Linked DNA regions of Caenorhabditis elegans. The protein of the gene in region 1 purifies or fractionates together with the protein of each later gene. This does not show direct contact. Each region holds a gene or a part of one and is shown in the gene's direction. Other genes may lie near its edges.

What was found.
Region 2: the proteins of Y57G11B.5 (region 1) and F57C7.4 fractionate together in Caenorhabditis elegans (co-fractionation; one large-scale study listed by BioGRID). This does not show direct contact.
Region 3: the proteins of Y57G11B.5 (region 1) and R10E8.6 fractionate together in Caenorhabditis elegans (co-fractionation; one large-scale study listed by BioGRID). This does not show direct contact.

The regions. Positions count from the first base shown.
Region 1 is NC_003282.8:14,571,810-14,578,342, forward strand, and holds Y57G11B.5 (DUF19 domain-containing protein), read left to right. Parts: upstream 1-3,009; 5' UTR 3,010-3,015; coding exon 3,016-3,189; intron 3,190-3,265; coding exon of another isoform or gene 3,266-4,012; intron 4,013-4,092; coding exon 4,093-4,296; intron 4,297-4,431; coding exon 4,432-4,731; 3' UTR 4,732-4,771; downstream 4,772-6,533. Other genes in the region: glb-34 (Globin domain-containing protein), read right to left, coding at 1-46, 400-544, 599-658, 809-824; Y57G11B.3 (F-box domain-containing protein), read right to left, coding at 1,738-2,007, 2,103-2,315, 2,411-2,530; Y57G11B.8 (CPXV012 protein), read right to left, coding at 6,453-6,533.
Region 2 is NC_003284.9:10,585,650-10,593,298, reverse strand, and holds the start of F57C7.4 (PKD/REJ-like domain-containing protein), read left to right. Parts: upstream 1-3,733; 5' UTR 3,734-3,760; coding exon 3,761-4,030; intron 4,031-4,091; coding exon 4,092-4,256; intron 4,257-5,390; coding exon 5,391-5,555; intron 5,556-5,601; coding exon 5,602-5,663; intron 5,664-5,708; coding exon 5,709-5,866; intron 5,867-5,913; coding exon 5,914-6,047; intron 6,048-6,096; coding exon 6,097-6,226; intron 6,227-6,272; coding exon 6,273-6,340; intron 6,341-6,382; coding exon 6,383-6,503; intron 6,504-6,549; coding exon 6,550-6,647; intron 6,648-6,692; coding exon 6,693-6,848; intron 6,849-7,080; coding exon 7,081-7,228; intron 7,229-7,272; coding exon 7,273-7,507; intron 7,508-7,548; coding exon 7,549-7,649. Other genes in the region: sdn-1 (putative syndecan), read left to right, coding at 21-173, 437-542, 676-776, 831-1,042, 1,189-1,307, 2,769-2,944.
Region 3 is NC_003283.11:18,259,476-18,269,932, reverse strand, and holds the start of R10E8.6 (DUF38 domain-containing protein), read left to right. Parts: upstream 1-3,541; 5' UTR 3,542-3,568; coding exon 3,569-3,624; intron 3,625-3,916; coding exon 3,917-4,619; intron 4,620-4,673; coding exon 4,674-4,942; intron 4,943-5,767; coding exon 5,768-6,446; intron 6,447-6,488; coding exon 6,489-6,760; intron 6,761-6,965; coding exon 6,966-7,650; intron 7,651-7,701; coding exon 7,702-7,941; intron 7,942-8,256; coding exon 8,257-8,303; intron 8,304-8,372; coding exon 8,373-9,300; intron 9,301-9,472; coding exon 9,473-9,573; intron 9,574-9,622; coding exon 9,623-10,328; intron 10,329-10,374; coding exon 10,375-10,457. Other genes in the region: skr-6 (Skp1_POZ domain-containing protein), read left to right, coding at 1-112, 162-317; fbxa-213 (F-box domain-containing protein), read left to right, coding at 1,089-1,429, 1,474-1,557, 1,699-2,389, 2,435-2,641.

The DNA.
Region 1 (6,533 bases):
AAATTGCGGCCAAATATTTTTGTAGTGTGGGAATTCGGAAAAATATCTGAAAAATTGATGGGTGGTTCTATTAATAAAATTGATGGTCGCATCTTGGTGCAGCTGGAAAAATTATGTTTGCTGTTTCAATGTCAGTTTTTGAAAAATGGGTTTGGAAATTTGTTTTTACTCATTGCTGTGCAGATTCCTTGTGTATGCTATTTTTCAGAAAATTTGCTCAATAAAAGTTTATAATTCAGAGTTTGGCTGCAGCCGACGTTTTCCGGGTTACATTAAAAAACAATTGATGTCGTCTAGAAAACGAATACTTTAAAAACGGTCCAACATTTCTAGACTTATTGAAACAGAGTTTTCAATTATTTTTTAAAATTATTTTTTATTTTTCTCAAATCAACTCACTTGGCAAACAAAACCAGCCCGTTCCTCTTATACTCTTTAAAAATAACTGGAAATGTTTCTGTGAATATATGCTTCTGCCGTTCTGTAATTCTATCCATCTCCTGGCGCATTTTAATTTTGGCATCCGGGTTATTCAAGTCTGAAACTGAAGAAAAAAGTATGAATATTGAAAAGTTTGAAATTTTTTTTTGAAACCGACCGAAAAGTGGAGATTGAACTGCGGGAGATTGGGGTCCTGACGGAGGATTTCCTTTGAAAGCTGGAAATTCTTAAATTTTATCTGAAATGAACAAAAAATTTTATTATTTTTTTAAAAGTCTGTTTCACAAAGTGTTTAAATCTGTTGCATTTGTGCAAAAATTTAATCAAGTCAGACAAATGTGCTTCAAAAATAATAAAAATAACTTACGACATGTGGCAGGCATTTCTGCTCTCAGATCAGGCTGAAGATATCGGCGAAAAATTTTTGTTCCTGGTTAAATATATCAGTCAGAAAACCACAAAAATGATGATAAATGGTTCAACGACTTCTCATATATACAAATCGAAAAATCATGAGTTTTTGAGTGCCGGATGTACATATAGGCACACTAATGTGATGATGAGATAATATGAGACTTGACGGTGGATGTGTGCGTATTGGAAGAGGGATCGCTGTATCAAACGGCAAAGATCCACTACGTCACAGAGAATTTCAGGCGATGTTTCAGATTCACACGTTATTTAATTTCTATCACTAATCTAGTCAAAAAAAATTTTGTTTTTGATGTTCGCAGCGCCCGACACTTTGTGGGCTCACCAAATTCTGTCACAGAGTTGTATGGTCACTAGCTAAACCCGGAGAATGTCGGGCGCTGTAAAAAACGTTGAAACTTCCTAAAATGTCTTGCGAAGGGAAATTTCATCCTCACATAAAGTCCCCTGTGATGATAAAATCCAGCAAGTTTAAAAAAAAAACTTGAACATCATACAAAAAATTGGGCGACAAAAAAACCTGTGACCAATCAGTTATGTGCAAAAGGCGTGGCCAAAATTGGTGATTGGTCAGCATTTACTTGTACCGACCAATCCCCGGAGTTGGCCACGCCTCCAGCTTACCGCTGATTGGTTCAGAATTATCTAATGTGTAACTGGATGCAGTAGTGTTCTTTTTTAATTGCTGCGTTTCGAGTTTCATTTCACAGTTTGAAGGCATTTTTTATGTAGCCTGTTTCACATTGCTCATATAGAAATATAATTTTTGACACCAGTAGTCTTCGAATCCATGCAAAGCTAAAACTGGTAAAAAATCACACAAAAAAAAATTTCATTCATCAATTTCAAATCACTAAATCCACATCAATCATCCTTGAATTTTTCAATATTAAAAACCATCGGAACCATCTCCCCATTTGTCCATTTCTCATATTGACGAACAAGATTCCGGATTATCTTCACTGCCACGTTGATATTCTTCACAGAATCTCGAGTACAAACGTTCCTGGCTACTAACTCCTTTCGAAGACAATCAGTGAATTTTGTCATTTTTCTGACAATTCTGCTAACATCCACCAATGTATTATATGTCATCCGTGCTTGTCTGTAGCAGAAACGGAAAGTTGGAGCAATCTGGAAATAACATTTCAAATTTCGAAAATAATTTTTTTTTCACTGTTTCAAAAAAGTTTTAAAACAAATTTTCAAAAACAATCTCGCGAACTCACATTCTTGAGACAATCTAAATTACTTTCTTGATACAAAATGTTTCCCATATTAGTCAGAGAATCCAGGAAAAATCGATAATGACGTGAAGCATCACACGTGACATTTGAACCAATACACGAGGAGGCCGTTTTGGTGAATTCCACGAACTTCTTCATAAACTTCGGATTATGGATCTCACGGCCAGTTACATCGGACAGCGAGTGGATGTATTCCTGGAAAACAGAATTCGTTGGAGTAATCTAGCAGCTGACAAGCTACGAGTTGTCCTCGACAGTGACCAGTATCAATGTCGGCCGCTCTATCTTACCTTGTGAGGCTGCGCACAACTTTCCAAATCCAACTTTTCTTGGGCACAAATTCCTCGATCACCAGCCACCGTGGACAATACGGCAAAGAGAATTATCAGTGATATGGAACAATTGAACATCGTTTGTAATTCGCTTTTGCGAGAAATGAATGATGTTCGAAATCTGGTTTAATAAAGTGTGGTGGAATTTGTTTTTAAACTCACGTTTTTCGTTATTCACTTTTTTGTTTTCGTGCCCACACGCTTTTTGGTCTTTTGCAAATTATCTTCGGTTTTTATGTTTTTAAAAAATATTTTTTTGAAACACAAAAAAAGCAGAAAGCAACAAATTTATTCCAATCATTTAAATTCATTTTTTGAGCTTTTATATTTATTTTCAACAACTTACTGTCTTCAGGCAAAGTCTACGAAAAAAAATCTTGAAGCTGTCTATATTTCTGATTCAGATTATTTTCCATGAATCAACTAAAAAACGATTTTTGATTGATTCCTGCCAAAATCCAATTTTCGTTCGAAAACTTTCGTATAATGTTTTCAATTGATTCATATACTTTTATCAACATTTGACTACTATAAAAGCCTTGTAAAATGCACATTTCAAAAAAATGTTCAAGTCTTTGGTGTTCTCAGCTCTTCTGGCGTACGCCGTTGCTGCTCCCATGTCTTCTATGACCACTGCCATTGACAGGATCGACCAAATTTTCCAAGCCGAAGATAGTACACCAGCTTGTAATGCCGAGACGAGAAGATTCAACGCTTGTTTTAAGGATATTAATGAGGTGAGATATTTATTAGTTGAAAAATATTGGGGGCGGCTAGTGGCTAGCGGACTATATATATATATATGTTCATTTATTGAGAAGAAAAAAAATCAATAAATATTATATATATGAAGAGTAGGATATATTTTTGCAGTACTTTTTGAGAGTACCATCGGAGTGGTTTTTCAAGAAGAGTTGATAGGGAAGAAGAGGGTTTGGGGGAATATACGGCAGAACCGTATTCGATGAGGGGGAGAATGCAGGTCTTGAATAAATTACAATAGAATTCAGGACATAAGGATTTAAATGATTTCAATAATTGCTTGCAACGTAAAAGGGCTAGAGAAACGATCTTCTTAATGTGGGTTTTGAAGGTAAGTTTAGAATCAGTAAGGATTCCCAAATCACGGGCTATATTTGATGGGGATATAGGCAAATTATTGATTTTGTAAACAGTTTTAGGGTTTTTTTTACCGAGATGAAGAAGACAGGTCTTTGAGTGGGCAAGTGGGAGCTTATTATTTTCAGACCAGGCTGTAATGAGATCAATTGTTGTTTGAATGAGGGGAGGGGAATGTGAGTAAACCTTGAGATCATCTGCAAATGCAGAGCAGGAGATGGTTGGGGGCAGGCTCAACAGTAGAGAATTTATGAAAATGAGAAAAAGGAAAGGCCCAGATACACTTCCCTGGGGAACACCAGAGGGGATGGGATGAATGTTGGGGTCAATGTGATTGTTAACTTTTACTGAAAATGTTCGGGACGATAAGAAATCGTGGAACCAATTACAAAACAATGGGTTTATGCCAAAATCAAAATGGACTAGCTGAAAATTAATTGTTCAAGTACTTCTGGGCATGTTGAAACAGATTTTTTTTCAATTTTTTTTTCTGAAAAAAATTTTGCAAATTATATTTCCAGAAATCCCGTCTCGAAATGTTCCAAGATGTTACCAAATTCCCATCAAAATCCGAAGTACTTGAGTCAGTCGCAGATATCCGTAAGGCATTGAAGTGTGCAGGAGAACCAGTGTGCAGCAAGCAGAAGTTGACAAAATACGCAAGTGAATTGGTGATATATGCTGGGGAGAAGATCTACGGAGAAGGATTCGGATGTGTGAATCAGGTAGGTTATATTAATTGATGTTTCTTAGCATCCGACACCTCGCGGGTCTCCAATTTTAAGATGAACGGCGGAACCCGCAAAGTGTCGGCAAGCAAACTAGAATTGTTTTGCAAAAAAACCCTTCTCAAATTCCAGAATGATATGGTCCGTTTCTACACTGCTTGTGTGCTTTCTGAAGTTCCAATGGATCAACTTCAAGGCTTTACCTTCAAAACAGTGCTTCAATACGCGAAACCAGTCACAAGTTGCTTCGCTAAACATCAAGAATGTGAAGAGTCGGAGAAAGCAGAGTTTTACAAGGGAATGATGGCTTCAGTTGAACTTGTGGATATATTTGTACCAATTTTGGAGGCAGTTCATTCAGGAAACTTGGAGTTCATCCATACTTTTGATAAGAAGTTCAATCCAAAAGATTTGGATAATTTGAAACAGTGATTTTGATGTTTTTGGGTTTTAATAAATGATTTTGAGCAACACTTCATTATTCTTTCTATTAAAAGAAAATAAAAAAGTAAATGCGTTCGGGGGGAATCGAACCCCCGTCGAATGCTTGGAAGGCATCCATGCTGACCATTACACCACGAACGCGCTGTTTAAAGCGGGGTGAAGCGACCGACATATGGCGAGACAAGATAATTTGAGAAGAAAGAGAGGAAAAGCGCTTGCGGCAGTGTACAGGTTCTGAGCGTAGAAATTAGGGGGGGGGGGGGGGGAATGCTAAAGTGTCTGCTGACTGCTAAAAATTTTATTTTCAACACGTTTGTTTTGCTGTTAAAATTTTGAAAATGTGTTTCTAAAATTGAAATCAAATGCAAACAACCCAACAAAAAATGCTAATACATTGGGCTTTATGTTCAACATGAAACAGTGTATACATTTATTGTAAAAAGTATTCAGATTAAAAGGAATTTGAATCAATTTCATAATTGTCGAGCTCAATTGTCAATTGATGCAACAGACATGGTTCCAACTTTCCAAGATATGTGTCTAGAATCCAACGTTGATTGAACAAAACTGACTGATAAATTCTGGAACTATTGCAATTTAAGAATCCAGAAATCCATTATCGATTTGTATTCCACTTGACATTGCTCGAGAGTGACAATTGGTGGAGGGGTACCCCATTGCCGGTGACCAGTGGCAACAGGAGAAGAGCGTAGAAAATCATGAGTTCTAAATAATATTTCTCCTGTTTCAGAGAGTTGTTATATAAGGCTGGCGAACAATTGAGTTGATATGATATCACGATGTATTTTATATCTGACTCATTTTTCCTGGAAAACGAATTCTTTCAGTCGAACAATTATTCGTTCAGAACAATTTTGGTTGTTCCAAGTGTCAAATTAAAAGTCTGAGCATTTTTTCAGTCAAGTGTTCACACGGAATGTTAATTTCATTGATTTTTTTAATTTTTGAACTTCATAGTCTGTAGTCCTGATCCCACACACTAAATTTGTGGTGACATCAAAAATTGACGAGGAATTCAAATTTTCTAAATACACACACACACCTTGTCAGAAATGTTCTCAACTGATGCAAATTTCAGAGAATTGGTTTTTATTTTTAAACGTAAATATTTAACAACAACTTGAAACGGTTGGCAATTGTTCTCATTTTTTTTCTTTTTTTTTGTGCGGCAAATTTACCGAATTCGAGATTTGCCGCACACCCCTGATCAGCCATATTATGTTCCATTTACCACGAATCATCATTCCGGAATGTTTTAAAGTAAAATATGGTAACGTTCTTCTTTTATTGAGCATGTTTTCATTTCACACAATGTTTAAACATACTTAAAAAACAAATCATTGACAGGAAAACATTTATTTAAATGAAATAATTCTAGTTTTCATTTAACTGTCTGAAAGGGGATGTAATGCTCTCATATCAATTCCATAGTTTTCGAATTCAATTTTCGCTTGATACCCCCATCATACAACCGGTGCGCAATGCAAATATAAAACGTTTGAATAGATTTACATCACTGTTTTTACAAGTCGGTTGACTCTTCATTTTCTCAATCAAACATGGATATTCGGCAGGATTTACCACACATTCAACCGCATCAAAGTATTGCAGTTCTTCAAGACAAGATTGGACCATCATATGGAAAACGTTATCTCCAAGACATGGCCACAGCTTCCCAATATAGGTTTCTAGAATCCAACGTTGATTGGACAAATATGCTTGACGAATTCTGGAACTATTGCACAATAGAAATCCAGAACAATCCAGGA
Region 2 (7,649 bases), on another chromosome or scaffold:
GATTACACCAACAAGACAATATGATTCTGAAACTCAATTTCTGCCTGTCGACTTACTCGGTCCTCATTCTCCTATCCTTATCTACACAAGCTTTCGCCGCAAATCAAGCAAAAACGAAAGTGGTCCCTTCGTCAACTATTTCTACGAAAAGCTTGAAAAATGGAATATCTGAAGTAAGTTATTATATAAATTTATCATAATGTTACAATACGATACTACGAAATTCATTCACCAGCGCACTTTTTGTTTGCGCAAAGCAGGCTCGAATCTGAAGCGCGGCAAATGCGCACCAAAATATTTGCATTATTCAAACAGATATAATGGGCGATGGAGCGCGCGTAACATAAATAATAATATTAATAATAATAACGAATAATATTTATTTAAATAATATAATAATAATATTGGCAATATGAATAATTTGAAACTTTTGCAGCAGGTCGAAGGAAGTGCAAACATTCCCGGCAGGTTAGCAGACATCGAAGTCAATGGATCCGGCTACCCAACCGACGACGAAGACGGTGATGATGTCCATGGGTCAGGTGGGTATTTTGAATTGTTCTTGACAACTGTGAGAAATCCTGTTAGAAAAGCGTTAGTCCAGATGCAAATTTAATTGTGTGCGCCGCTTGCAGTTTTCAATCTGTGACAGACAAATTTGAAAACCTTTTTTAGGCAAGCCGCCATCTTCAGCTACCACAAAATCGGACAAGGTTACATCTCCAAGCCATGCTGTTGTGACTGCAAAGCCGACAACGGTACCTACTACTACAGCGGTTTGTGTCGGCTTTTTCTTTTGATGTGTTTTACCGCAATCTTTCATTCTTCAGAGCTTCAAGCCTCCTGTTCAGCCCAAGCCTAAGCCAGCGGCAAACGACAAGGAGATCAAGGTCGAGGAGGACGAGGACGATGATGAAGATGAGGATGAAGATGATGAGGATGATGAAGAAGATTTTGCTGATGAGAATATTCATAATGATGAAGATTTCTTCACAACTACTACTACAACAACGTATCGACCTATTGTTGTAGCTACCACCTCGTATGTTTTTCATTTGAACAAAAAACAAAACTATTCTAATGCCCTCCAGGGCCCAGGATTTATGCATCTAGAAATGTATTAATTATCTTGTCAATCAACAAATCCCCGAAAACATCTAGCAGCCAATTTAATTTTCAATTTTCCAGAACGCCAAGGTCAGCAGCCACAAATCCACCTCGACAGCAGCCACCAATGGTCACATCAACCATCTCATCTGGACCATTCTCGCCATTCCATGAGACACTGGCAAATGGCTTCTATGCAGGTATGTGTGAAGCAAAACTCATTTCAATTAATTTTGCATTGGGACCTTTGATCGTCCGGAGTGTAACTATCATTAGTGGGAGCAGATGCAAATGTACATAAATCGCCCGGTCAGTGTGATGGCGTCGGCGAATGATTTGTTGCGAGATGATAAATTGATGTCTTCTCGTCAATCGAAGGCAACACGGTTGCATTCAATATATTCGGCCACTGTATTCCGGGGGAATATGCTGCCTCAAGCCTATCCGTTCCGTCTGTTCCGGATGGGCAAATATACACAAAAATATGAGACTTGCATAAAAGTATGCATACTTTTTGCATTCCGGACACTCATCCCGTCCATTTTTCGCGACCAGTCTATCAATCAATGTGTACAGCTCGAGGATGTGCTAGTTTGTTGTCGAGCTGTTTCTTAATGACAGATGGCGTGGCCTCTTCTTCGTCTTCTTGTGCTTGTGTCACAGAATGGGGACCCCTTCGTATGAATGATGCACCACCACACATACTCTTCTTTCCCCCATGTGTCTAATTATTCCTGGTGGGAAGACGATGAGAGCTCTTCTTTCTTATTGAAAGAAACCAACAAGTATTGGTGAATGACACGCCAGAAATTATATTATTGAAAACGGAGAGATGATGATGATGATGAGGATCAAGATGGGTCCAAATTATATATGAGTGCCACTGAACGAGACACTTCTCAAGTTTTCTATTTTGGCGCAAAAATGTAGGAAGAGATGTTTAGTTTTTTTCTTTCCACAACACTTGCTTTGAACAAACTTTTTTGTGTTTACTGCCTTTTGTGAGGAAGTACAGATGCCTTGAAATGGGTTTTTAAAGAAAACATAGACCCCTTATGACGCGTGTCTCAAAATGTGGGGAAAGACGAATTGTTCAGTAAAGTTGACATCTCTTCTCAAAACTTGCTATGCTTTCTTCTTTTGTGGTTATCAAAATCTGAGCAGCATCCCACATCTAACAAAGGAGCCCCAGCTCTATTCTCTTGAGAAAAAGGGCCTGAGGTTCGGGATGGTGGGACGGAAGCCGCTGAAGAAAGAAGGAAGGCAAGGTCAAGGGTCGCATTTTGTGCATATTTGATTTTATGACACTGAGTGGAGGAAGTGTCTGTGAGGAAAAGGGGAACCTTTTGAATGAAAGGTTTTGAGAGAAGATGACGGTTTTGAAAGGATTTAGTGAGTTGGAAAGGAAAACTAAAATTTTTTTTCACTTAGTTACAAAATTAAACTCTTATTGAAATTATTCACTACCAAGAAAGTTCAATTTAGGACAATGCAATATTTCTTACATGCATCGCATTACTGATATTATATGTTGTCCTTACGGGTTGAGATCATAAAAATATGTTTGGAATAAAGCACAAAGCTTATTTATTTTTTAGTAACGAAAAGATTTAAAGTTGTAGAATTATCTATTTTAATTTGATTTAATTTGATATTTTCAGCTATTGCCGGAGGTGTTCTCGTTGCGGTGATTACAGCCATTCTACTCGTGCTCTTTGTAGTCTTTCGAATCAGGAAAAAAGATGAAGGGTCATACGCATTGGATGAACCCAAGCAAGCAAGACCATATGCCTCGTATGGTTATACCAAAGCATCGACAAAAGAATTTTACGCGTAATCTCTACTGTCATTTGTTCAAAATCTTCTATCACTCAATCACCTTTCAAATCATTTTTATGATTCTGTTCTCAGACTTCATTCCAATCTGCCATACCTTTCAATTTGTTTTTTTCCCACTCCCATTTTTTTCAAACCCTCCCCCCCCCCGCCTTCCTTTCGTAAAGGTCATTACTCTCTGTTCTACTCGTGATAATTTGATAATATAAACTGATCTGACTCCATGGTGCCAAATATTTGAATATAATCTTTTGTAGACCCACTTAGGGGTAGGGATGCATGTATCTTTGACTCAATTTATACTATACTCCCTTGTTACTATAATGTGCTCATATTATCCTATTCTAGAAATTTCCACCTAATTTCCAAAATCCCTCAACACTCTCACGCGGTTTCTCTGGTTTCTGATGGCACTTATCTGCTAGAGTTTTTTGTTTCAAAACTTGCCTCTTGAAATTTGTACTTTTTCTTGTTTTATCCGTTTACCTTTTTCTTTCCAATAACATCTTCTGTAACAATTTGAGATGCTCACATATTTTATGTATTCAAATTTATAAATATAAAAATATTACATTAATGTTCCAAAACAATATAAATAAACAAATAACGAAAGAAAAATGATCATGAGAAATCTCACATGGACAATGAAATAACAAGAAGAAGGAAACGAAGCCTTAAATTGAAAATAACGGGTTTCCATAGAGACAAAATAAAGCTGCGCGTTTTTTCAATCAGAATACGTAAAACTTTTTTGCCTCGTGCACTAATACTTTTCGAGCTTTCTTTTTTGGCTTCGGTTGCCATGTAATTTTTCTGAATGATAGAAGAGCGCCTATTGAAGTATTTGTTATTACTGTTCCTAATTCTTGGATTCTGCGAATGTAAGATTCTCAATCAATGCTATTCATCTGGAACAAGCTGTATTCGGTTTGAAAAAGCTTATTTTGAATTTGTGGACACTGTTCAACTAACCAGCGATAATGTGCCAACTCTAAAAGACAACGCAGGAACAACATCAACTCGTGTTGTGCTCAGTGAGCTTCTAAGTCATTTGGCATTCAATCATAGTTGGACACTTGCCGCATTGGTTAGCTTCCTTTTCGAAAATTCTGAATAATTGACGAACACGCAATTCAATTTGCATTCAGGTGGTCAACGCAGGCACACGCACTGACGTTCAATGGAAAATAGCTCCTGATGAGACAAGTGAGCATCCAATTGAAATAGACGATCCAGATGGATATGACAATCCGTTTCCTAATGCGACAGTTCATTGCGTCGACATTCAAAATTATGCTGATGACGCAAAACGGGTAAGTATTGGTCATGTCTCATTCATCTTCATTTTGAAGGTGTCTCCGAATGGTCTTCTTGTTACCACATAGAACCATATAAAATATATGAGAACAAAAAACGAAAAAAAAACGTATTGAAAGATGGGAATAGGAACCATATGGTTGTAATGTAATGGCGCGTTTCGTGTCGCCGTGTGTGTATGTTCAAAATGCGTCAAAGACCTTGTGAAAGACCAACTGCTCTTGTCTTTTATTTCGATTATGCAAAGGGTGTGAAATTGAAGGTGTATTGGTAGTGAGAAAATTGATTCTGTATTTAAGTGCCTTACACTTGATAGTCGGGGGAGCAACCAATATATTCGACTTTGACATTAAAAAAAACCTTACTGGTGTATCAGAGACCGGCACTTTTAGAAGTAAATTTTTGAATGAAAACGTAAGGATAATTTTTGAATTTTCAGGCTTTGAAAATAACATTACAAAACCTAAATATATCACGTTTAATTTGAATGTAATAATAAACAAAAAATTGAAAATTTTTGAAAATGCAGGGAATCAATACAACAGTGCCAGGAACGTTATAATTAAAAAGTTATGTTATATGGAAAAATGTGAAACACATGTTATATCTGCCACAGGTTTATACATGTTAGGTTTTTTAGGTAAAGTACATGCTTATTGTTATAGTAAAAACATCAACAATAGAATAAACATTATAATAGTTCAAATCAATTATGCACGTGTCGATGCTAATCCATCGGTCACAATACTTATAGTAAACACATTTTTGTGCTGTTTTACACAACAACAATGAAGAAACGATAATAGTTTAGTAAAATTATTTCCATTGGAATAGTGATTACTTTTTCAGAGCCCAATATTTAGATAACTTTTTAAAGCCAAGTTGATGCGTCATATGATAAAGCAGAAATATACAAGAGCGTGTTGTATCAAATATCCTGGATAAATTGAATTTAGAATCTTAGGACTATTATCAATGATGAGTTTAGATCCCCATCAAATTTGCGGATTTATTATAGTAGAAAGTTCCAGTAACAACATTGATCGGTTGAATTATTAAACTACATTTATAAAAAATAATTTTAAATCGTCTTTTAATACCTCAATTCTTTCTAACAGTGGCATTTTCAGTTTTTGGTAGTACCACCCAACTACAATTTCTTTTTTTCTGTTAATGGCTCCGCTTCCATAAACTGTTCAAAAAGTGGGATTTCAATTATTCCGTTTGTTTGGGATGATACCAGTAGGGCAAGTATACGAGGAATGTCCTATTTTTCTTCATCACCTTGCTCTAGTGTGAGATTGACAAAGATCAAATATATTTTTTAATTCTTCAATTTAGGAATGCCTCGTGTTGCCTATCCCAACATTGTTGGTTAGATTCTGCCCAAATGTCAACAACAGGTACAACTAACTTATATTAAAAATTATAACTATTTTTTAATACAGCAATTTGGAAATTCACATTGATAAAGTTGAAGATTTTACTGCCGAGTTGTCTGATGATTTACTTGGTATAAACATTCAAAAGGTTAATGATTCAATTGAATTTCCAATGGGCATTATGAATTGTGAGGTTTTGATGGAAAACTCTTCCATTCTCGGAGGTAACTAGTTTTTCCACCAAATCATTCATAAAGTACATATTATTCAGAAAACCCTATTTGTCTGGGAGATGGGGCAAATGTCGCCATTAAATTTGGTGCCAATCCAAAGATCGGCATACTACAAGAAGTGAAAACAAAATTCTCACCTCGATCAGCATTTCTCAAAAGTCCAAAAAATGCGGTAAATTCTCATTGAAGGGCAAATAAAATTGAAAGGCGCACAGTTGCAGGTGTATCCAAACTTTACAGTTTCCCATGAAAAAGAAGTGGCTACATGTTCTAATTCAACAACGTTCGAAGTAAAACAGATTTCAGGGAACGGCTTCATGCCTTTGAGTTTTCAGTGGACTATTTTGAATGGTTGGATTTTTTTATAATGTAATATCAATCAACTTCATAAATTAAGGTACCTTGGATATGGAAACCATTGCAAAAGCCGCAACAGAAAGACTTCTGGAAATCCCCAGTCATCATGTAAGATATAAAAATAAAACTTGATTTATTTTATTTTTGAAGCTATCAACAAACAATGTGATACTGGTCACCGGGTGTAATGTAGCGGAAAAATGCACTTCAAGTGGACCAATCTATACCGCACTTGTTGATGATGCATCAGTGTTTTCAGTTTCTATTGATGGTACTTGATACTTTTTAAAATGTTGAGTAAACTCAAATTATTCTAGGCGTTGAACAAGAAACCCCTGCTTCATTCGGTCTTCGTCTCCGTGCAAACCCTACTTTTAAGCAATGCAGCTCCAAAACGTCCCCAAAAGATGTTCAGGTGTTTCAATACATAAGCTTTAAAAAATGACATTATTTTTTTCAGTACGAGTGGAAATTGAATGGGGAAGGCAAAATGTATGATGACGGGCTCAAACTACCGGCTTATTCATATTCTGTGAATGAGCTGGTTAATGTTACACTGATAGCAAGATACAGTTACGAAAAACCGTACTCTTCAAGTTCAACAAAGACCATACATGTATGTTGTTAAACTTGCAACTACTGTTGCTAAAAAAAAGTTGCATGACATTTATTGAAAGGCAAAAATAAGGTTCTTCACGAAAATCACTGTAATACAGTTTATTACACCATAAATTGTATTTCGACATTAAAACGTGAATGAGCCCATAACAAAAGTTCAGTTTTCATTTCAAACTTTCCCACTCTTATACGTTTTCTTTTGTAGTAAAATGTTTGTGTCTAATTTTCAGTATTTTGGCTTACCACTTCTAGTAAATTTGGATTGTGCTGAACGTCAGATTGGGAAAGATCACGACCTCACAATACGAGTATTGGCGGTAGATCAAAATCGAAAGGACTCTAGTCTTAAATACCAATGGACCTGTGAACTCATTGATGGTAACTTTCATTTACTTAAACTTTTATTTAATTATATTTTTCAGAAAAAAATGACACGCAAAGCTGCAATCTTGGAGCGATTGACACGTTTCAGGATTTTTTGAAGATCCCTACTAACAAATTAATCGAAAATACTATTATGAATGTGACAGCAACCGTTTCATCTGAGGAACAATCTGACAGCTCTTCATGTATCGTCACAATTGCAGCAACTCAAATTCCAACAGTTACATTTTATAGACTCGCAGAGAAAAAACAAAATGCTTTTGATTATATCAGGTAGAAATATTATTGAAAGTTTATACTAGTCTTTTTTTTAGAATCCAAGCATTAGTAAGTTCGTCATTGCCAACCTTGAATATCACATGGGAAGTTGTTCGAGATCCTCAGTTTGGTTATTTCAATATTTCATCGTTTATAT
Region 3 (10,457 bases), on another chromosome or scaffold:
CGAATACTGTGAGCACCAAGGTACCCCAAGACCCCTACTCAATGGAGAGATTGGTGAATGGGATTCCGAGTTTCTTAAACTTGACCAGAATACATTATTCGATTTGGTGTTGGTTAGTAGATATTTTGGAACTGTTAAAGTTTATGTAACCTGTTTTCCAGGCTGCAAATTATTTGAATATCGAAAATCTTTTTGATGTCACAACACAATTTATTGCTAATATGATGAAGAATAATACTCCAAGTCAAATTCGTGCTAGGTTTGGCGTTTCAAACAAACATTCGAGTGCAGAAGATCGATCAGATAATTGGTCATGACTTTGACCATGGCCATGATAATTGGTTATTAACTCGTTCAATCATGTTTTTTTCTTATAATAAATTGTAATAAATTTTAATATTAATATGAAATTAATATTTAAATTAAAATGTAATATTAAAAATTGAAATAAATGGCATCACGGTCCAGCAAAGGGTACATCAGTGTAAACGCGCTCTACTAATAATTATAGTTTAGCCAGGCGTGGGCACGGTTTAAGGAAAAAGCTTTAGTCCAAAAAATGTTTAATTCATTTTCGAAAATTTTGTATATAAATCACAAAAATGTTGGACCTCCTGTTTTTGAGAAAAACGCGCCCAAACGTCCAGATATACGGTAGACAAATTGCGTACATGTACCATTTCTTGGGCCGTGGGCATCGGTTATGTTTTGAAGTCTAAAAATGACCTTAAGTATTTTCCTCGTAAGTATTTCAGTTTATTATTAAACTTCCTCAAACTTCCGAATAAAACCTATGTCATTTGGAAGTGGTCTGCACTTTTATCAATCCCGTTATTTTTTCAAAAAACATGATATTATGTACACTGGAAAACATACTAATGAGTGGAAGAAGATTGGCATCAAGTGATATATCAGTCAGAAAGGACAAGCTGCGTCTCCACTGAGCCTATTGTTACTCGTCTGTTGCTATAACTACGCCACCTTTTCGAAATTATGACAAGATGATCAGTTTCAATGTTGTGCTTGAATATCATGATTTAGCTCTTTTGTAAATTTTTTTTACTGGAAAACTGAATTTTTGCAGAATAATGGAAAAGTCAAATGAATCCGATTTCTTGGCAGCTGGAATTGACCAAGACTCGCAAAATCCAGAACCTGGGCTAAAACAAGAGGCCGTTGAAGCTTCAAATCTATTGGACAAAACACCACAACTCGAGCAGAAGCTTCCGACCCCTGCAGAACGCTTGCTCGCCAGCAAGATTGCCCTTCGTGGCTGCATGCTTTTGGAGTATGCAAAGGGAAACGATGTCTTTGAAGCTTACGAAGCCTTGTCCGAAGTACTTGGAGAGGAGTTTATGAACATCAGAGAGTTCGACTACTTCTTTCATAAGCTTGGAAAGGGGGAATTGGAGCTGGACAGTGGAGAGAAGTTGGTTAATTTTTTGAATATCTCTCTTAATATTGATGCTGCAGGTTTGATCCGAATGCTCTTCAGCTCTCGACCATGCCGGTTGAGATTGTACGGAAGATTTTGATGGAAATTGAGCCGATTGAACGGTGAGCAGCGCACTTTGAGCCCTATGATCTATCCTGCTGAAATTGCGCGTTTAAATTGTAGCAGGCCTACGAACAAGAATTTTCGGCAACAAAATTCTGAACCAAGCTTCAAAAACACGCCAAAACTTGCCCGAATTCTAGATTCCCCTTCCGCCGTGTCTGCAGCGTGTTCCGCAACGCCATCGACTCCCTGGACTGGAACTTCAAGACGATCACTCTTTCCGCGGGATACTTCAACACCATCCTAACGTTATCCCCCACTCATTCAATGATCTACACCTTTCTGAATCGTACAGACTCTATAGTTGGTCTTTATGAAAACGGGCGTCTCGTGGAAAATGGCGGAGCAATGGAAAAATCAAATAACCTGAGCTTGGCCATCATGACGCTGTCGAGTATTCTCAAAAGCCCATTTTTCACACTTGACACTCTGGTTATCACCGAGACTCAGCAAGCCTGGGGTGTACTTTTCGCGGGCTCCGAGAGCATTCCTATCGAGCTGGCAAAAGTGAGTCCATTGTTGGTCACCAGCCTGCAATTCATCGACATTCGCTGTGAGGAAATAGTTTCGATAGTACGATTAACAAAATCTGGTACTCTGAAAGAAGTCTCAATTAGGTTCACCAAACCATATCAGTTCGTACTTCGATCTCGTCCGGATACAGTCCCACTTCAGAATATTGTGGAATTGGAGCAATGGAAACATCTGGAAAAGTTTGATGTGATAGGCGATATCTTTATGAACATCCCTATTGATAGCTTCTTGCACTTGACAAGCTGCATCGTCAGGTTGGTTATACTGACAACAGAGGAGTTGATCAAAATTCGAGATGTAAGCTTAGAACAATCATATTCCAACTACACATATATTTAACAGATTCTCATGGAATCTAGCACATTTGAAGTTGCAGTTCTCAACTTTATGCATTATAATTTAATTGAGATCGGCCAGTTTTTCAATCCAGCCTTTGATATTTCAATTGCACCCCGACCGATTCAATTTGGGGGTTTTCATATTGAGATCATCGCTGTTGGTTCAGACTGTACCGTGGTTATCTATAAACGACGAGAAGATATGAATTGATCTAGGATTTTTTACACTTCTCTCGATTTTTTTCCTTTTTCTCATTAAAAAAACAATTAAGTGTATTTGCTATCAAAGAGTGTTTATTATTAGATGTTCAAAAATTACACCTTTCAATTTTCCTCAATGAAAATAAAATTCTTTGAAAAATATGTTCACGAAGGCCTTATGATTCGATGCATCCTGATTTAAAAAGTTTCTTCAAACATTATGAATTGCGAATCTGGGATTTGATGTAAGCCAACTCATAATTAGAGCTGGGCTGACAGAACTTGAACTTGTGATCGCTAAATGAGCGTAGGCTTTGAATACGTGGAGAGGAGCTTCAATCGCAAATAAGCTAGCAATTTTTGAGCATAATTATTAATAGATTATTTCATAAATTTCATTTGCTTGGTTTTCCATGTTTATGTCCAGGGAAGCTGTAAGTATCGCATTTTAACGCGAGTCATGTGACATATGACTCAATGTGGCGACGAATCGACGACTCACCAATACTTTTTTCTTATTTGTAATACCTCAACAGTCACTCTCAGGTGTGAAAAAACACATTCAATTACAATTTTCTGATATGTAAATTCTTGAGTAGGTTTTTGATTGACCGATTACAAAAAATACGTTTAGAAAGAAATAATGAAAAGTTATACATGTGTATGCATAATTCCTTCTCCATTTTCAATATTTATCCAATTTCAGAAAATTTTCGGCAAGTTTGTCGGCTTTTATATATACTTAAACAAGCGATATAAACTGAATTTTCTAGAATTCAATAGTGCTATACAGCATGTAATTAAAAAAAAACCATTAATGTACATTGGTGCACTTTTAATTGCTATATAGCAGTTTGTTATCGAAGAAATTCTCGCAAAATTTGATAAGGAAAAATTACAAACGTGTGATTGTCACGAGGTATCTCTGCTGAACAAAATGGACAATTTATTTCGAAGACTGTCCCAGTTATTGTTTCGGTTTGAACGGAAAACGTGAGTATTGGCTTGAAATGTGGGAACGTCACATTTTCCTGGGGAAAAATTCCCGCATTTTTTCTAGATCAAATCGCAATGAGACACTCCAACACCACGTGAATAAAGTAAAAAATATATGGAGAAAATTAAAAGAGGCAAACGCGCTCCAATGAGAATTTATTTAGGCACGCATCTAAAACAACTCATAGGGACGCAAATGAAAATCGCGATTTCAAGCGCAAATAGAAAATCAGAGAATTTTTTTAAAAGTTTCTTAATAGATAGCCCCAAAAACCCAGAAAATTTTCAGTCGCGCCCTCGCTCACTCCAAAATTTTAACCTCTACCCTAAAACGCCTGCAAAACTCTACGAGAATCGGAATCCGAATCACAGTTTCAATATGCACAATCCGTTTGACTATCTACACCAGGAGTACCCCTTCCAGGGTCACGATAGTCTATCAAGAGGATGGTTGGATTGTTTCTGACAACAAAAAAGAGTTGATCGATAACTTTGACTACTTTTTTGTCTTCATGAGGCATTTACACTCGATATTTGCATCAAAAATCCCGGTTTCTTATATATCAATACAGTTTATTTGTGATCTGAGAGCAAGGCTGATATCGGAAACGACTGACGAGCACACTGAAATGTTGTTTCTAAAAGAATTGAGTGAAATGATGGAATCCCGAAACCAAAATGTGAAACTGAAAAGGTTCTCGGTGCATTTCCACGGGGTCACCTTAAACAACTCGATTGAGCCGATTCTACAACACGTGGAGGCAAAAGTTCTAGTGTTGAAAGCAAATTGTGATGAGGACATGAAGTACGATTTCAACAAAATTGTTGAAACAAACATTTGGAAATCGGCCAGAGTAGTGGATATCGATTCGTTGTACCTCAGTCACGCTCACAAGTTTTCCTGTCAACCTGTAGAGGAGATCTCACATTTTTCAAGTGTTTCGTGTATTTTCTACTCGATAAACTTTGATGACATGGTTTTCCTGAAAGAGGTCAGTTTATTTTTAGTTCTTAATCAACTTCTGTCTAAAAAGTACAAATTACAGCATTTCCTCGAATCTCCGAACGCACGTGAATTCCTCATTAGCTATCGGAAATTCGATGAGCAACCAATGATCAGTGACATTTACGAGATGGGATTAGACACAATTTTTGGAAAGCCCGTCAATGTGGAGTACAAAGAAGAAGACAAAATTTACAAGTTTAGAGTGATGGATACGGAGCATGATATTTCAATACAGTTGTTTTTACGGAGATCTGGAAATTCGTCGATCATCTTTACGCGAGAACCACCATCGGTGAAGCAGATCTATGAGTGAGATTTCGGGCGTTTTCTGGAATGACGCCAAAATGAGGCTCCAACCAATATCAACCGCCGACATCTCACGAGTTCCGCGCCACGCCCTTAGCGTTTTACCTTCATGGCGTGGTGCGCTGCCATGTTAAACATGTGGGGACACGAAACTCGTGAAATGTCGGCGGCTGATATTGGTTCCCGACTTTGGCTGATTGAAAAAAAAACAAAAAAGGTCTCCGTGTACCTCAGTTATATCTCATAATGTTTGCCCTCTGAAAACTGCGAAAAACTTACAGTGCGTATATTTTCCACTTCTACGACATTAAAGGGGGCGCATTAACGCGCGATGGTCTCGACATGCGCGGCGATTTAATTAAAACTTTTGATGTGTGTGCCTTTAAAAATACTGTATTATGCCTTTGAATTAAAAAAACACATATTCAGTACAAAAAACATTTATTATGCAAAATAATTAGATATTAAACAAATAAAATGCAGAAAGTTGGGAAAGAAACAATTAAAACGGGAAATTGGAAGAAAATGAGAAAAATCGATGAAGATTTCCGAGCAAAATTAATACAGTAATATTAAAGGCGGACACATCAAAAATTTTTAATAAAATTGCCGCGCGTGTCGAGACCATGCGCCTCCCTTTAAAGTCGTAGAAGTTTTGTATGACGACGTTTGCAACTGAGGACATGGTTCATAATACATTAATAATACATTGAATTAGAATAGTTACTGCCCGCACTGTGGTTCGAACAATTTGGATGCTTTAATGGTAGATCTTACGCCGTTTCTGCCATCATCTAAATAACTTCATAATCATAAGTTCCTTTTCAGCCAAACTGTGCACAATTATCACTCACACACGATTGATCTACTAGAAAGAAATGGCCAGGAGACTAATGCCTTACTGGTAATTCGGAATGACTCAATTCTAATTTATTTTACGTATACTGACAAGAATACCGCGGAAAAAAAAGTGGAAAACTTCGAGTACAAGAGTCTAGAAACTGGATGCTCGGCAGTTGTCTCTGAAAGAAGAACTTCATTGACTGTGAATCTAGATCATATGTCTCTTTTTCTGACACATTTGAAGTACCTACTGGATAATTTGACGACTTTTGAATCTTTTTCATTTGGATTTAATGAAGAATCCTGCGATGCAGAGTTTATGAACCGCCTCAACAAAACTATCCCATCAAATTCTCTAAAAGCCGATGGCTGCTGTATATCTTTCAACCGTCACCCTCTGATCACTGATTACATCACCTCAGTGCTCTCGTACTTCCAACCAGGAACCCTTGAAAATATAGCGATCCACACAGCACCTCACACAATTGCTATGGAACTGGAAGATATTGCGGGCTTAGAGCAATGGAAACGAGCAATTTCGGTAGCAATGTGTAACACTACCCTAAAGTTGTCAAGTAAGAGTTGGGAGAATTTCAAGCACTTTTCGTGTGCCACAATTATATCCGAACCGATTTCTTTTGAGGATCTTTCATTTCTGAAAGAGGTGTGTAATAATTGCACAACTGGCAAATATGTAAAATTTCAGCACTTCCTGACTTCAAATACCCCGCGGCAGATTAAGCTTCAATATCTCCGTTCCTCAGAGGACAATATCAACGTTGCTCAAAAACTTCTAGAGCTATTCGGTCCTCCAGCTCACGAAAGCTATGAGAGTGCAAAGCAATGTGATCGAACATGGTGCATAGCAATTTCAAATCAAGATAATTGTTTTCTGGTCAAGCACAAATTCTGTCGTCCTCGGGAGTATGGCACATTCGTGTTCTCAAGAAAATTGGCGGCTGAGATGGAATGGATCAAGTAAGATTTTGATTACCGTATGTTCTTTATTTTTATGGCACCCACACCGTCACCCGTTCCTCAGACCGCCCGCTTTTCCAAGAAAGCAATAATTTCAAGGCCGATGCGCAAAAAAAAACGAACATGGACTGGAACACTCTGTTCGCGATTCTTGCCATACCAATAGGAAACATATTGTAATGGAACAAATTGCATTCTCTTCCAGCTCATCCCCCAGTCGTTCTCAAATACTCTCGGCATTCATCAAGTGCCTTGCAACTTACAAAAACCACTCCCTAGAAGTTCACACTGCAGAGGACCAGGTCCGGATCATGTTCAGCTACTCCTCAGAACTGACTAGCTATCGGAAGAACATCGTGTACAAAAATCACCGTGAAGGGTGTCTGCTCGAGTTTGACGTTCACAAGATAGTAATCGACGAGGATTATGTGACAGTTTCTTGTGAGGACTTGAATATGGTGCTGGAGACGGTGGAGAGTATTGACACTTTGCTAATAGAGTCTGAAGAGATATCCCCGTCAAGATCAGACGATGACCCCAATAACTCGAATGAAACAGTTTTCGGATGCTGCTTAACAAAATTAGTGGAAAATCTTAAGCAGCGAAAGCAAATGCTTCATGTCAGAAACTTCAGGCTAAACTTGAATATGCAATCCCCAAGTGACCAGGTCTACTCTATATTGGAACTACTTTCTCCGGAGGTCGTCGAATTGAAAACTTCCATAGAAGACACAAAATTGGAGTTGTCAGAAATAAATTTCACAAAAACGAAGGAGCTCAAAGCAGAATCATTTTTGTTATCCATCCCCATCAAACTATTGAGCAAATTTTCAAAAGTAGCAGTGACATTACAAGATTTTTCAGTCGAGGATCTGGTTTATTTAAAAGAGGTACTCTTATCTAGATTTTATCTAAGGTCTCACAGCTATTATGTATTTCAGCACCTCCTTGGATCCCCAACGCCGTTCAAGTTTACTATCAACGACAATCGTTCGAAAGAGGAGCATGTTAATGCAAAGAACCTACTTGAAGAATTTGGAACACCTGATCGCATTCAAGATGATCTTATGGAATGGCGTATTCGGATTCCTGGTCCCAAATTTGATCTACTTATTGAATACCGCCCGTGTGTCCCGATGGGTCAATCATTCAGTTTTGAGCGTGTGGTGGAAAGGGTTGAGGTTGGTTGTAAAAGAATGAGCATTAAGTGTTAGTTGGCACTAGGTACGAAATAGATCACAAGTTCAAGGAGAGAAATCCACGAGTTTATAGATGCATCCGCAGTAGTACTACAAGAGCTCGGCAGTAGTACCACAAAATAGAATATCTGATTTCTGAATCAGGGATGCGCGGCTGGTACGGCCAACCGACAAATTTGGGCAAAATTGCAACAATTTCTTCAAAATAATCGAATTTCAAAAACATTTTTACCAGCGCTACCAGCGCGCATTTCTGTTCTGGATCCAAAGTGCATATCTAATTTCAGATATTTTCAGGAACATCAACGTCACGAATTTACCAACCAACCCATTGAATTACCACTGTAAGTATCACATTTCTATAAGTTTCCTTCTGCTCAACAAAATGCAACCAGGTATTTTCAAATTTTCAGCTCATACACTACCCATTCACTGATTCTACCATCAACTTTGAACACCACGAAAGCCTTCAAACTTGCTGAAGTCCGCTTATCTTTATATAGCACCAGTATAACAGTCGGTCTTTACTGTACTCTCCAAGGTCAACGATCTTCACGGATCCATGAGTATCAACACCACCCGAACGGTTGTCGGCTGCAATGTGATCATCAAAGGGAAATGGTTCGGAATCGGGATTTCGTTTCGCTGGCGGTTTCCCATTTAAAAACGATTCTTGAGGGCCAAAACGTCATTTTAGAATTTTCAGTCCATCTATGCGATGACTCTGAGTATATTGATAAAAGGTGTCTTGAAGATCTTGTTGAGATGCTCCGCTCACGACGTCGGCAACTCAAAGTTCGGAACTTCAAGATTAGTTTCTTTGAGCAACCATACATCAAAATCGCAGCATCTCTATTGTCATACTTCGATCATTTCTCATTGGTTAGAATAACACTCAACACGCCATTGCACGGTACAGTAATCGAAACAGAGGACTGTGACCTACTTGTGAGCCTGGATCAATGGCACTGTGCCAGTGAGCTCCTCATTTCGTCGTTTGTATTTTCAACTGCATTGGAAAATTTCGAGAATTTTTCACTTGCAAGTGTTACGGTGCCAACGATTTCTTTTGAGCAATTGGCTTTGTTGAAGGAGAATCTTACGTATTCAACTACTAAGTTCTGTCTGGTTATCAACTTTCACGGTTATGAAGATGAAGATTCAAATGATGTGGAAGCACGGCGACCACAAGAAATTTTCGGAGAACCAAACGTGGAATACGGAAGTGAGGAGTTTGGGCATAAAAACTGGCATCTTCCTATGGATGACAGAGAATATAGATTGGCGATCAGATATCAGCATTGTGGAGCCGAAGGGATTCCTGCGTATGTTTTTACAAGAGTGAGTTACTGAATGGCTGTTTAATGACTGACTGATCGTGTCTCCGAAGCCTAAGCCTAGGCCTAAGTCATAGCCTAATAGTTAGCCTAATTTTTTGGTGAAACTCCCAAAGTGTCGGCCGCTAGACTTCCAAAACAAAGAAAAGCAAGCACACTGACTTAAAATTTTCCAGGAAAAACAGGAAGACGCCCCTCCATTTGACATGCTGCGGCTCGTCACCTGCTTCCCGATGGTCATGAAGAATATTGTCGACAATTGCGCTTTTGTCTCAGTGTGCGTTAACAATTACTGGGAATAATTTCCAAAATTGTTTTTTTTTCAGCGAAGTCCTCCGCAAAGTTTGCAAAGACCTCCGCTACTTCGTTGATCGGAGCCGGAGCAAGTCAAAATTCCAAACAAATGATATTGCCGTGAGCTTGAATTCTGACGATCTCAAGCTTCGAATCCGCCAGTCAAACGCGCATACACTGTTTGTCTACTACAAGCAACCAATAGGATGTCGGCTTGATATCATCGAGTTAACTCCGGACGGGGCCACACGGAACTACCGGGAGCATCATTTGACAGATGACACCCCGTTGAACTACTTGATGCGAGATCTTCAGTTTGTGTTGAAGGATCAGAAGAATTGCCTGAGAAGTTTTCACTATTGGGTTGCGGGCGAACATGAAGAAGCGCAAGAAAAACTAAAGCGAGTTCTGATTCGGAGCTCCAAGCTTCAAGTGAAATGTTTAATCTTAGCCGGAAGGACTGAGTCGGAAATTTTAGAGCTTCTCGAGTGTTTCGACGCCGGAAAGTTGAAGCTTCTGAGACTAGATTTTGCAAAAATCACTGAAGAGGATGAAGGAACACTAGAGATCGCCCGAATAGCGGAGACGGGTCACTGGAGAACTGCAGAGGAGTTCGTGGTGGCTGAGTGCGTGCTTAACACGGATCCCTTGAACTTTAATCAATTGTTCGGAAATTTCAAGAGCCAAAAAGTTTGCCTGCAAAACTTCACAGTGGACAACTTGCTTTTTATGAAGCAGGTGGGACGTTTATCTTTGACAATTTAACAATTTATTATTTTTCCAGAAATCCCTTTCCACTTCCATAAAACTATTCTTCATTTGCGAAAATTTCGATATGGAGAACTTGTACGAGCTTATTGGACGGCC